Linked DNA regions of Mytilus edulis. The protein of the gene in region 2 interacts with the protein of the main gene of each other region in a biochemical or structural test. Links are inferred from orthologs where the notes say so. Each region holds a gene or a part of one and is shown on either strand. Other genes may lie near its edges.

What was found.
Region 1: the proteins of E3 ubiquitin-protein ligase rfwd3.S-like (region 2) and replication protein A 32 kDa subunit-A-like form a complex in vitro, tested with the Homo sapiens proteins (3 studies listed by BioGRID, with this or other methods). The link is inferred for Mytilus edulis from reciprocal best matches to the Homo sapiens genes RFWD3 and RPA2.

What each region holds. Positions count from the first base shown.
Region 1 is NC_092344.1:9,233,837-9,241,272, reverse strand, and holds the start of replication protein A 32 kDa subunit-A-like, read right to left. Parts: upstream 3,001-7,436; 5' UTR 2,902-3,000; coding exon 2,883-2,901; intron 1,972-2,882; coding exon 1,880-1,971; intron 1,410-1,879; coding exon 1,305-1,409; intron 1-1,304. UniProt on the Homo sapiens protein: As part of the heterotrimeric replication protein A complex (RPA/RP-A), binds and stabilizes single-stranded DNA intermediates that form during DNA replication or upon DNA stress.
Region 2 is NC_092350.1:74,942,586-74,950,231, forward strand, and holds the start of E3 ubiquitin-protein ligase rfwd3.S-like, read right to left. Parts: upstream 3,006-7,646; 5' UTR 2,983-3,005; intron 843-2,982; 5' UTR 803-842; coding exon 680-802; intron 481-679; coding exon 379-480; intron 1-378. Other genes in the region: TBC1 domain family member 7-like, read left to right, coding at 4,776-4,962, 5,594-5,778, 6,618-6,755. UniProt on the Homo sapiens protein: E3 ubiquitin-protein ligase required for the repair of DNA interstrand cross-links (ICL) in response to DNA damage. Plays a key role in RPA-mediated DNA damage signaling and repair.

The DNA.
Region 1 (7,436 bases), on a different chromosome or scaffold from region 2:
TCCTAATTACCACAAATAATTAAGTTCAGTCATTTGTTAAAAATAGAAACATGTCCAATATCACTACACAGAGATTTTTTCTTTACAGTGATCAGGAAAGTCGTGCGCCCTGCGCCTATAGCGCATATTGACAAGAAATGGTGCATACAGTGACAAATGTAAGCGCTCACGTGGCGCACGATATTTTTCACTTCGTTTCGAAACGCTTAGAAATCGTCAAATGGATTTCCGATCGTGTTCCGTGATGCAATGTGTGTGTACACAACAGTTACTGTGTAATGTTCCTCCAATTATAGGAGCACCTATATATTTTTGGGACGTCTCGGGTGTTTCCCTACGATAATAGAACCATGCGGTTTAACGTCTCGGGTGTTTTCCTATTGTAATAATAGAACCATGTGATCTAACTGATAACCCGAAAAACGTATTTAACCATCATTCATGATATATTTTTTTCATAAAAAACTTTAAATTTGTGAAATTTGGCTAGTACAGACGAGATTTAACTCTAATAATAATCTCATTAAATTTAGCTTTCTATTATTTCGATTGAAGAACCCCAAAGACTTTTTAGGAATATAGTCTTAACTGTCCTTGTCATTTTTTGGTCTTTGGCTCGTTTTGACATTTTTGTAAACATGACTTCAGCGATTTGTTGTTTTGTTCTATTAATTAATGGTAATCTATAATGTTATTCTTGTCACACCTTGAAGTTATAATAATACAAGAAGTGCAGAGGAAATGCTTGAAATGTCCTCTGATACGGAACGTCTGGAATAAGTATGGTATCGACCAAGACCCAAATTTAATGTACAAACAAAAAAAAACATGAACATGAACACGGCAACAGTACCAGTTTAAACATTGTAAATAAATTTAACGGTTAACTTAAATATTGTTCGGGTTGGAAGAAGTTATTGTATATTCATTGAAATTGAAATTACAAAATCACAGAACAATACCCATGATTTTATTTAAAATCATAAAGGTAAGTACAAACATCTCTTTGCCAAAATATACTGATACATTTTGTTTTTACAGAAGTCAATTCAAATGACCCACTCATTTGACAACATGGCCCATTATTTTTTAAAATGGCCCATTAAATTTATTTTTGAGGGGCCCTGGGCCCATAGGAAAAAAAACCTTCCAGATCACTGCTTTACACGTGACTTTGTTCCTCATTTCGAGGCACATTAGGGATGTTGTCCCATATACATGGATTATCATTGTCAGAACAATATATAAATCTCCATTTTAAGGACCTAAAAAGTTACAGTACATTAAAGATTAGTTTAGCCTACCTGTGAAATCTCTATTTCTCCTGAGAAGAATTTGTCTTCAGCTTGACTGGCATTGAATACTTCAGCAACAGTCACTGGTAACAGATTCTGTGCTCTGTATCCAGACTATAAAATTATAAGTGATTCTTTTAACTTGACACTTCTTTACACATGTTCATTATAGAAATAATTGCATAAGGCATAGGCTTTTTAATTTGTTCAGATTATAATTCTAAAGTGGTTATAAAAATCAAATCTTATCGAACAGAAATGTGCAGATGTTTTACTACATGCATGTATTTCAGCTTTATAATATATTTGCATTCATAACTGTCTATCTTGTTTAGAGGAGACTGCATCTATGACTGTGACTTACACTGCAAGTTTGAAACTAATGATTCGAAAAGTTTTAAACTAAAATCTTACAGAATGATTATATGAAAGTTTTGTATAGATTTTTTCTTCCTAAATTAATTTTTGAAGTAAATATGTAAAACTGGTAATATGCACTTTGTCTCAAGACCTCATAATTCCTTGTTGTGACTTTTCTGATACAGTTGAGTAGAGAATAACTTAAAATGTTAATTCATTTCTACCTTCTTATCTTGACCTGCTTTCGGCGTGCCAAATCCTGGGGACATGTATCCCCCTCCCCCTCCTTGTGACTGTTCACCATACCCCTGGAAACCTACAAAAAGTACCAAACATGTATAGTCAATCAGGACATATATCCTTCCCTCCTTGTGACTTTTAACCATACCCCTGGAAACATACAAAATATAACCAACCATGTTAGTCAATCAGGCATTTCGCTCAAAAACTGGTTTAAGTGAACATCAATCGTGCATATAGTGGTGTCGTCACTACTGTTCAAATGTTAAGCAAGTGGTTGGAAAACTATAGCTATAGCTATATTGCCCACATTATTCAGCAAATTGAATTCTCATAAAATTTTGTCTTTCAGCACAGCTGTCATAATGGAATTGTGATCAAGTACCTACCGATCAAATATTATTTTTAGTATATCCTGCACAATGACGATCACTAAGACACTTGATGAACGTTTATAGTATCTGGTAAATGAAATCACAAAGGCACGCATAACTGACAAGTTTTTTCTGGTGACGGACAAACTCGAAAGTGGTCTATTGGCCAGTTATTACAATGAACTATTATTAAAATCTACAGGCCCAGAGCTCAACAAACCTAAGAGTTTCCAGATATAACACGACATGACCAAGTAATAAAACATGATTCATTTTTTGTTCTGTAGCCGTAGGTAATTGTTATTGTAACTATTAACATCGGTTGACTTTTAACAGTGCAAAATGACATCATTGTCAACCGAAGTCTTTAAAGCAAAGCTATATATCCATTGCCTTTGTAGTAATGACTAGGCATATACATTGATTTGTATAGTATAGTGCAACACAAATCATCAGATCATTGACAAAGGGAATGGGATATATTTGACAACGTACATTTGACGGCTGTAAAAAGAGAACCTGATAATTTAGAACACTGCTGATCTTGAACTACATAATATACACTTATGTATCGCTTTGATGTCAAGCTGATTTGATCATAATAGTGCCTTACCTCCTTGATTATTCCACATTTTTAAGAGAAGAAATAGAATAGCTGAGATGGCGGGAAATCAAAACACAAAGTGTAATCGGATTATGTTTCAGGGGAGGATGCGTTAAATTTCCGCGTATTATACTTTCACCAGTGAAATAATTAATATTTATACCGTGATTCCCTCTTTTCAGGACTCGAATCGAGCATGCCGATGAGAGCGGACGTGAAAATTTGTGCAGAGACAATCCATCAACATCATTGAAATTGTTTTGTCAAATTGATTTCATGGATAAATATTATTATCCTTACATCGTATATTTTATGATTTGGATTATATTTTTTTGTTGAGAAAGGTTTCTGCAGATATTTTCAGGTTTGTTTGAGACATGTAGTCAGATGGGATCCATTAGTAATTTCCATGTGGGAAACTTCAGACCAATCTATTTGATGTCTGAGGGTTTTAGCTGTTCCCCTAATGGATCGGTAGTTTCTTTCCGAGATCCTTTATCATAGGATTTTCGGCTTTCCTCTACCAGGAATACAGCTGGGCATTTAGCGGTATCGGTTTGGATTCCAAGTATGTCCTCTCCGGTTTCCCGTTCGTTGTCTAGGCATTTGTGCGGCATCCGGGGTGACCTTATCCCTTATTATTGTTACATTGGAGACTAATTGCCGGAATGCAAAGTTGGGTGAGGAACCGATTAATTACAAATGTAACAATAATTACTGAGGCTACGGTTACATTACGTTATTGTTACATGAAAAACAGCAATGTACGCTAGTTTGATTAAACTTAAATCTTCTGTAGTTGTATTGCTTCATTCTTTCATATGTACTAAACAATACTTGTAATTTAATACTGATAAATAATAAAATATTATTATTCAACAAATGTTTTACTAGGTATTAATGGTTTTGATGTTCTTAAAAATACTACTCAAGATTAGGAGTGCAGTGGCGGATCCAGAACTTTTCCTAAGGGGGGGCCCGCTGACTGACCTAAGAGGGGGCCCGCTCCAGTCATGCTTCAATGATTCCCTATATAATCAACCAACTTTTTCCCACGAAAGGGGGGACCCGGGCCCCCAGGCCCCCCCTGGATCCGCCTATGGAGTGTGACTGTCAAAGGCGTAAAATATTGTTCAATGGTTTCACTTTTTTAAAGTATTTAACTGCACACCTACTCTTATTACTGTCATTATACTTTGGACCAATTTTGTTTATGGTGAAAAAAATAAAACTTGGGATGCGTTTTAAACGAAACTGAAACAATATCAAGACATACATTTCATACAGCTTTATAACTTGACGCAAATTGATAATCAAAAGCAAAGTTTGCTAACTGTAACTTAAATACTAACTTAAATTCTGTATGTACACGTATCCGTGAAGGACGTTATATCGTTCATCAAAAATGCGTCGGACTTTAAAACAACTTACTGGATTTGTAGAAATTGTTATTGTAAATAAAAAATTACAGTAAATAAATTGTATGTTATAAATGTATGTAATAAATGTCCTCAACTTTTTTTTTAGTACATATTACTAGTCTCATCGTACATTGCTTTTTTTTCATGTAACAATAACGCAATGTAACCGTAGCCTCAATAATTATTGTTACATTCGTAATTAAACAGGTCCTTACCCAACCATGCATTCCGGCATTTAGTCTCCAATGTAACAATAATATTTTTATTATTGTTACATTTCCATGTAACCGTAGCCAGTGCCTTTTTTATATTATGCATTTTTTATATTTTTGAGGATGAGCGAGTCAGGTGAGTGGGTGTGTTCGTATGCTTTATTACATTGTACTTATTGTTTTGGGGAAGGTTAACTTTCTGGTTGTAAGACCCGTCACGGCCAGGCTGGGAGACTGGATAGGCAAATGCTCACATTAAATCTGTACCGATACAGTGTGTTAAATGTCTTCCTTTTTACACCATAACCCATGGTGGTGCTCCTACTAAAGGAGGGAGATACGGAACATACATACATAATAATATTGTAATATGAACATTAATCTGTTAATCCTGCTGTTCACCTGCTGAGCAGGTTGTACTGCAACTCCCTCCTATGTCAGGACAACCACCAATCTTAGAATCTTGGTAAAATCAATCACCCGCTTAAAATTCTCTGAATCAAACTATAAAAGTGACAATAATTAGCTCCTTTGGGGGATGTGATCCTCAGTATCGCCATTATCAGACTATAATATTCAGGATACACATTAAACCAGCACAGTCATATTTCATATTTTTTCAAAGTTGTTTTTTTTTGGTCGTGAATCATTTTGGTCGTGAATCAAACTAAAATCATGTCAGTTTGGTGAGTGTATTGCTATAAAAATAAAAAAAGGCACTGGCTACGGTTACATGGAAATTAAACAATAATAAAATATTATTGTTACATTGGAGACTAATTGGCATGCCGGTATGCAAAGTTGGGTAAGGAACCGATTAATTACGAATGTAACAATAATTATTGAGGCTACGGTTACATTGTCTTATTGTTACATGAAAAACAGCAATGTACGCTAGATTTATTAAACTTAAATCTGCTATATAGTTTTGTTGCTTAATTCATTCATGTCTACTAAATAATACTTGTTATGATAATAAATAATAAATATTATTATTCAACAAATGGTGTTAAAATAGTTTTAGGTATTAATGGATTTGATGTACTTCAAATTAGTAGTGCCAAAGGCGAAAAATATAGTTCAATGGTTTGTTGTTGAAAACTCGGGCTGAGAAAATCATTATACTTTGAACAAAAGATGAAGAGATTCCTATTACCAATTTTGTTTGGGTGAAAAATTTAAAACTTGCATGGAATGCGTTTGAAACAAAACTTAAACAATATCAAGACACAAATTTCATACAGCTACACAAACGCACTTACCAAAAATTGATACATCAAAAGCAAAGTTTGCTAACTGTGAACTAACACTGTGAACTTCTGTATAAATGTATAAAATTGAGAATGGAAATGGGGAATGTGTCAAAGCGACAACAACCCGAACATAGAGCAGACACCAGCCGAAGGTCACCAATGGGTCTTCAATGTAGTGAGAAACTCCCGCACCCGTCGGAGGCGTCCTTCAGCTGGCCCTTAAACAAATATGTATACTAGTTCAGTGATAATGGACGTCATACTAAACTCCGAATTATACACAAGAAACTAACATTAAAAAAATCATACAAGACTTAACAAAGACCATGCAAAGGCTCATGACTTGAGAAAGGCGCAAAATTGCGGCGGGGTTAAACATGTTTATGAGATCTCAACCCTCCCCTATACCTCTAGCAAATGTAGAAAAACAAACGCACAACACTACGCATAGTAAAACTCAGTTTAAGAGATGTCCGAGTCCGATTTCAGAATCCATGCCGGAGGACGTACTATAAAAAAATCAAAAAATTGTATGTTATACTTGTATGTATTGTAAATATAAGATAATGTCTTCAACTTTTATTATTTAGTACATATTACTAGTCCCATCGAACATTGCTGTTTTTCATTTAACAATAATGCAATGTAACCGTAGCCTCAATAATTATTGTTACATTCGTAATTAATCGGTTCCTTATCCAACCATACATTCCGGCATTTAGTCCCCAATGTAACAATAATATTTTTATTATTGTTACATTTCCATGTATCCGTAGCCAGTGCCTAAAAAAAATCCTATTGATTCAAAATATAGTGACATTTGGCATATTTTTACTAGGGGTCACACAATAAAAGTGTTAAATGTGTCTGACTGACTTGTATATGATAAATTCAGAGACATAAACCTTATTTCTCAAGTCTGAGACTACTATAACACATGAGACTTAGGTAATTTACAATCAATAGATTTTAATAACAACTGTATGAAACTTTTCTCCCTAGTTTTGACCACAGGAAACAATGAGTTGGAAAAGTTTCTAGTTGAGGTTACTTGACATGCATCTTTAACTTTCTTTAGTACAAATACAAATATTTATTAGCACAAACTCATCAACAATAAATGGTTAAGGCTCATGGTATATTAATTACATAATTGATCATACTTATATAATAAATAAGAATTTATAGTGCATTTAATAGCTTTACTTTTCAAGGAGTCAAGTGGGACAATCAGAACTTTTCATGTGGGACAATCAGAACTCTAAAATTTTAAAAAGTGGGACAATCGGGAATAAACCTCAGGATTAGCATTTTCAAAATCAGGAACAACAATATGTATAGGTATGACTTCATTCTGTACACGACGTTTCAAGTTAAATTACAATACAATATATTTGTATGTTTTTCTACAGGCACGTGTCAGATATTCCATTTTTGAAAAAAAACAAGAAGAAAAGCTGTTTTTTTATACTCAGGGTTTCTCGATACCTGATTCTTTGTAGCTGGTAATCATTACCTCAACCCAACTGTTAATTGGTGTTGTTGTTGTTTTTTTTTTTTGGGGGGGGGGGGGGGGGGGGGAGTCAAACTAATGAAAATGTTCTTAGGGGGGTTATTATGTGTTCTGAATATTTTAGGGGGGTCTCTACCAACCGACCCCCTCAGCTGATAAAAAAT
Region 2 (7,646 bases):
CTCTCAAGATGTATATATATATTCTATTGATTTTAGCTCTTTAATAATATTTTTTTTGCAGCTTAAAAGTATTTATGAGTCAAGCCAATTGCATTATTCTGGGACATAGGCCAAGGACTCCCAAAAGTGGATTTCATAGTAGCCTTTAAGAAAATCTGAGAGCCATTCAGGTTTGCTTTTCAATATAAAGGCATTAACTTCAACATATACCCAAATAGTCTTATTTTTCTTGATTTCGAACATCAACATAAGTTGAAAATATCTCAACATTGAAATTAAGTTGTTACTTGTTTATCATAAACTTGCCATACAATTTTGGGTGAAATGACGAGGGCAAAATAATAGATTTCTATTATAGATTATAAACTGATCAATTACATGATTTGGAAGTGTGTCTACGTCTACTTCTACATCTTCATCATCACTGTCCTCTACGTTGACCTCTGACACGATACTGACATATGAATCATTGTCTTCTCCCTAAAATACAACAACAATTATTGATTAATAATTCCATTTTACATCCTCTGATTGGCTATAAGTATTTTGTCTAGGAAGAATATTTTACCATTTCAGCTATGCACATGTACATACTATGACATATAATGGCAAAACAAATTCCAATAAAATAAATGATATAAAACATTGTCTTAATCTTAAATAGTTTTAATTTAACAACCTCGGAATCTGGAAATAATTCTTCATCTGTCACTGCCTCCACGTCAATATCAATGTGCCGCTCGGGTGATTCTGTAACAACTATAATTTCATCATCCGAACCTTCCACATCAATGTCTGACATTATAAGTATAACCTTGAGATTAAAATTTCCATGATTTTATCTGAAACGTAAACAAATATAGAGTAGCAATAAAGATCTATAGAAGCTCACATTGATTTATTAAAACTATATACAACAATATTGCAATCGCTGTTATTTCACTGCCACACTACATGTAGTAAAGGTATCATTGCTGTTGAGTCCTGTTGTCTTTATCAATGTATCTATCAGCTTGTTTGATCACTAAGTCATGTCAGTCACAACTTTTGGGACTATCGTACTACAGATTCACCAGGCGTTGGTTCACTTTCGTTTGTAATTTAAAAATAAAAATGTACATGTGTATGTACAATTCCATGCTTGGCTTAGTACATATATGTCATGTATGTCATTTGTATGTAGAGTTTTAAAATTTTTTAAAAAGTAGCATTTTCTTTTTCCTGGTTAAGAGTCCAACTCTATTAAAGTGTTATTGCAATTGACTCTCAAATAGACAGTTGGCCAGATAGTTAGATTAGACAAATGTTTGAAGAAAACAAATATGTAGGGTGTAAACAGACTTTGGGTGTGAACATGCAGGGTGCAAAAGTGAAAGGGGACAAATGTGAATTGGCAGGAACAAGTTTATTTGGGAGAATGGACACGGATTCCTGGTTTTACACTGTCACAGGTCTCACTAATTTGCGACAAGAAGCGTCAAGAAGTGACAAGAAGCGACAAGAAGCATCAAGAAGAATAATTTTAGCGACAAGAAAACAGTTTTTTTTATCAAATATAAAAAAATATGCATTTAATCATTTTTAATTTAGGGGCAGAAATAAATTGATAATTCTATTGATAGATGAAGAAAGTAAAAATTTGCGAGGAAGGGATTGTGTAGTTTTTTATATTATATCTAACTGTACAATTAATTTTTCCTGATAGGACCAACGTTAGCTGTGGCTTCATCCTATTAAAGGTAATACACAAAGTAGAACATCAAATGAGATTAACGCAGCGCTTGTCCCTTGTTTTATTGCTACAATAACATCCAATTAACACCTTCAACTTTATACACTCGTCAGACTATACAATTACACGCGCCAGAATATACAATCATTGTAAATAGTGAACACCTGTTGAAAACTCAAGATTGTCATCAATTTCCTTTAATCTTCGATCAATATGCATTAACATGATAAATATCGTTAAATGAGGCAATACACTAAATAAAATAATAAAAACTATTCACATTTTAATTATGTTTTTCTCTTGTTTGATTTCAGTTCTTTGTACATTTTTTGTATTTCACAATTTGTGTATGTATTTTCTGGACAATGATGCACAAATAATGCATTTTGCAAGTTTATTTTATATTGTACAAATATAGTTTTAAAGACAAATTATAAGACAAATATATTATTGATCTAAAACACAAGTAAAAGTAATACCATAATACGACAGGGTAAACGTAATACTTGCTGTTATACCTAATAAAATATCATGTAAATAAATGTAGCAACTGAATTAGATCTAAGTTTCAGGCCCCCCTTTTGAGAAAAAAAATTGGTTGCTTATATAGGGAATAACTGAAGCGTGACGAGATCAGTCCCCCTCTTAGGCAGCAAATGGACCCCTACTTATGAAAATTTCTGGATCCGCCACTGACTGATCTACTAGTGCTCTTTTACTGGAGGATGGTAGTGGACATTTTGTCAGGAAACTCATGCACTTAGTTCATAGGCTGATCCAGTGGAGCAAATGGTTGACTATATAGGGAATCACTGAAGCAGGACTGACACAGGCCCAGCTCCTCACCATAGGTCAGTCAGAGGTCCTCCATTATAAAAAAAAAAGTTTTGTATCGGCCACAAATTTGTGTTATTTTTTTTAGCTAACCAAGTCAATTGCTGAGGACTTTGAAATCAATTAAACTGTACATGAAGACATTGTGCGTGTTTTTTTTTATAGGAGAATAAATGATATTTGTTGTTAGCAGAATTGCATAATCGGAATAATTTTCAGGAGAAAAAAAACTAAAAAAATGGCATGTTTTTCAGTGTATAATTTTTCCTCTCTCAAATATGACATGCTATCATTTGTATTACCTATGAATATACTGGAAAATCTATATAACTATATGCCCTTACATAAAGATGCATTTGCTAGATCCAAAATAAATCAAGAGTTCAAAAATAATCATTTCATTTCAGAAAATTTACCGCTAAACATCATATTTAAAGCAATGTAAATATCCAAGACAAGCCGAAATAAAATAATCTGGGTACTAGGGAAGCTTCGAATAATACTTCTTTTACATAAAGTGTTTAACTGATGCTGATTTATATTATCGGAACTTACTTTGGTTTATCCATCCTGACTAACTGGACAGTCAGATGACAGTTCAGAGGGAGAGTTTTGTACTACCTGATTTTTTGTTTAAAATCAAAGCAACATTCTCTTTTCTATAAAGGAGTAGACTGTTGCTCGATCTAGGTATAATTCACTAGTATAAGCACAAAATGCATGTCAACAGTAACACTGTTCCAAGTTCATGAAGTTGCAAACAAAATATTAGGATGTTATCATTGTACTCACACTCATGAGTGGCTTAATTAGCTTAGTAGTTTTTACATGTACGCCAAAACCATGGAGAGGGGTATGAGGGTCCCTAGCGGGTTCAGGTCAATTTACTGTGACAAATTCGCTGCCAGATAAAATATAAAATAGACATTTACATCTTCATTTCACACGAAAATAGAAATAGTGAATATAACTTCTGGGTTCCTCCAGTAAAGAGACAACAAAAAGACAGATTTTATTTTAATGGCATACAAATTAATACAATTAATCGATTTGACCTCAGATGACCATATAAGCGATGTAAACATAAATACAGATGTAAATAGATTAAACCAACATGTACAATTGGATTGTTATAGGTCTGTTTGATTTGATTTTATAGATTAAAAATAGATGTTTCTCGTTGTTTTTAACCGTATAAGAATGATTTAATGTGCATTGCATTAGTAATCAAATGATTAACCATAGTTTCACTTTCATTGTTGACATTCTTTTTCTTTAAAAAACCAGTACACGTACATATGCAATTGAAGTACGTGTTAAGCTTACAATTTGATCACATGGTGATGGAATTCACATGAGAGATTTAAGTAAATTGTAACTCCTGGAACTTGGCGTACTTGTTTTTACTGTGACAAAGTATATGTTAGGGAAAGCGTATGAAATTGAAATGTGTCTATCATAATGAAATCTTGAAAAGCTATTTTAATTTTAGTTTTGTAAAGTCTCTTCATGTCTTAAAATATGTAAAAAGGCATGAAAGAGGCCCGTTCTCCTTGTAAGATTTTGTTGTTGACAAAAATAGCTTTTTAAGACGTCACAATCATTTCAACTACATTTTTATGCCCCACCTACGATAGTAGAGGGGCATTATGTTTTCTGGTCTGTGCCTCCCTTCGTCTGTCCGTCTGTGCGTCCATCCGTCTGTCCTGCTTCAGGTTAAAGTTTTTGGTCAAGGTAGTTTTTGATGAAGTTGAAGTCCAATCAACTTGAAACTTAGTGTACATGTTCCCTTTGATAACATCATTCTAATTTTAATGCCAATTTAGAGAATTTATTCCAATTTCACGGTCCACTAAACATAGAAAATGATAGTGCAAGTGGGGCATCCGTGTACTGTGGACACATTCTTGTTCAACATGAAGGCATGTAGGTTTAGCTCTACATTATATTTGTATATATATATGTATGGAGAACACTCTTACATGTCTTAGGTTTGCATTTATAGCACTGGTTGAAATTTGATAAGAAATTTTTCTCCTCAGTTTATATCTTCCTGAATGATTCTACTTTTGAAATCGTAAGTGCCATATATCTAATTAAAATATTTTAAATTTTAACAGTTTGCTTGAATCTTTGCTGTCAATATTCTGGTTAGAAGTAGTCAAAGGGAGATAATTCAAACATTTATCTACTGTATATCTGAGTTAAGATGTCAGATGAGAGAAATTTCCGTACATACTACTACAAGAAGTTTGGAATAGGTGGAGTGGAAGAGAAGAAATCCATTGAAATACTCCTGAAGGAGCATCCATTGAACATTGACAAATTACGACAATTCTGTCTGATGTTCCAAGTGCCAGCAAAGTACAGAATATATTTATGGAAAGTTATTTTAGGTAATTTGTTAAATTAATATAATTTATCTCTGTTTGTTATGCAGTTTATCTATTTAGTTGTGAACAAAGAGCAATATAGTTTAGATGAGCCGCCCGTGAAATTGAAGAAAACCAGACAGAAATCCACAAAACTTGTCACATTTTTATAAGTAAGAAAAAATTGAGCAACTTTATGAGACCACCAATGAAAAAATGAAAAATACTCAGGCTCTCAGGGAGTCAAGAAGAAGGTACAAGATTGGGTGGGGTTCCTTTGCTTCAGCATTCATTATTTCTATTCTGTATAAATTTTGACCATTGTTTTCTACTCTTTTAAATGTTTAATTTTAGCTCCCCATTGATTTTCTATTCTTGACTTTTCCTACCTATTTTACAATAATCTTTTTTTTTATGGCCAACTTTTCTGTAGTTTTGGCTCATTATTCTCTATTCTGTAAACCCAATCCAGACACTCCAGAAGGGTAAGCAGTTTATACTCCACTAGTAGCTTCAAATATGCTACACATTTCAAGTAAAATCGAATGAAGTGTCATATATGTAGTGATGTGTTAAATTAAGATAAAGTACTTTTTAGAGTACAAAAAAATACTGTTGACAAAACAGGTTACATTTAAACATTTTATTTTTTAAGGTATTTTACCATGTGGTCAAGGATCTCATGATTTTGTGATGGACCAAAGAAAACAACAATATAACGATTTACTTCATGCCCTAAAATTGATGAGAAGGGTAGACAACTCTACCACAGCAGGATTACTGGTTCTAAAAATGTACAAATTAGAAACTGGTATGCTGACTTTTGAAGAACAAGAACTAGTAAGTTTATATTAGCCCTGCCTTAACAGCAAGTACTTATTTTATATCGGATGTCAATTTTCTGACTAACATAATTTTAAAAAAGAGCTGACTCTCTGTCTTTTAAGAAAAATGGTATTGTTGAAGTTTTGAATTTTCTGCATGTTCAATGTTCATAATTTCTACTAAAAAACTTATTTTCAAACTATTTTTTTGGCCATTATTCTTATCATTCCATAAACATGATAAAGAGAAAATTACATGAATAAATTTTTGCTATAATGGTCTTGCATATTTAACAAAGTAGAAGCTAGCGGGTTATGCTTTTAATTTTTATTGGTGTAGAACTGGTTTTCATGGATTTCATTAAAATAGATCTAGATAAACCACAAAAACAAACGTACATTGAAAAACACTTTTTTTTTTAAGGTTTGTTGAATATCTTTTTACACTGCCTTAAAATCCAATACTCATTAAGATATAACTTCTCCTTAATCCACGAAATTTTTATACACAAGAATAAATGAATCCAGAGTAAAGTTTCTGAAGCCTTAGTTAAAAGGGAACTATTTATGATAAATCAATTTAGTATTTAGTATGCAATTTAATAAGTATTGGCAATACTCATTTCTTAGAGCTTATATGACACAGCATCTTCAGTCATAGCTCATGGACTTTGAATAGTTTGCATCTAGGTAAAATGTTTAAATATTGCCTTTTTAATTTAAAAATTTCCTTCATACTATCAAAATTATGAAAAATCAAGACATAGTACTGCAAATTATAAATATGTGTAACATGTTTAAAATCTCTGTGCTAGGTGTGTGTGATAATGTGATAATTCATTTTTATATATTCAGGTGGACCCAGATGATATGGCTTTGTTTACTATCTCAGAAGCTTTAAGTAATATTGAGGAAGATGATATTAATGTTTACTGGATTGCTAAAAAGTTTTATGAATATTTTCTGAAATGGAAGGAACCAATTTTGAGTCTGGTTTGTAATTTTTGTAATTGCCTCTATTTAAAGCTGTTGATATAAGGGACATAACTGCAGTTTGTAGTGTAATTTTCTGTTCTTATTAGAGTGTTTATAGATGGAACTTTATTTTATAAAAGATTAATAGAGGTCTGTAATGAATTCTGAAGACTATGATGACAGCATTATATCCAGTGGCGGATCCAGAATTTCCCCCTCCAGTCATGCTTCAGTGATTCCCTTCATAAGCAACAAAATTTTCCCCCAAAAACTTGTTGTTCAGTGTGAGCCAAGGCTCTGTGTTGAAGGCCGTACATTGACCTATAATGGTTTACTTTTATAAATTGTTATTTGGATGGAGATTTGTCTCATTAGCACTCACACTACATCTTCCTATATCCTTATATATTATGAACATGATGAATGAAAGAACATAATCTGGTTTATTGAATTTAGTAAGAACACTGGGCAGACATTCAGGGGTTCTGGATTTCAGGCATCTTTATCTGTTTCTGTGTGCACCATATAAACTCAGAAAACCATACAACCAATGCCTTTAAACTTTTGGTATGCTACTGATGAAAATGAAAGTGAAGTTTTTTTTATATTGTTCTCATCATGCAGTTCTAGAGTCTAATCCAAATTGGAAAATACCTTTTATGTCAATTCCAATCGAACAAATTGAGATTACTTGATCTAATCTATTACAATCATTTGATGTTATTAATGTTTCTTGTTACAAAATGGAGGTCTGATTGATTGTGTTGAAATTGACTTTTGCTGTTCTGAGTAAGGCTCTGGATTGCATAAACAGTAACACTGATTATTTCGAAAAAAATGTTGATCGTTGTCATTTTAACGGTCTCTTGTATAACATCATACAAAAAATATGAAATTTAACAATTTTCC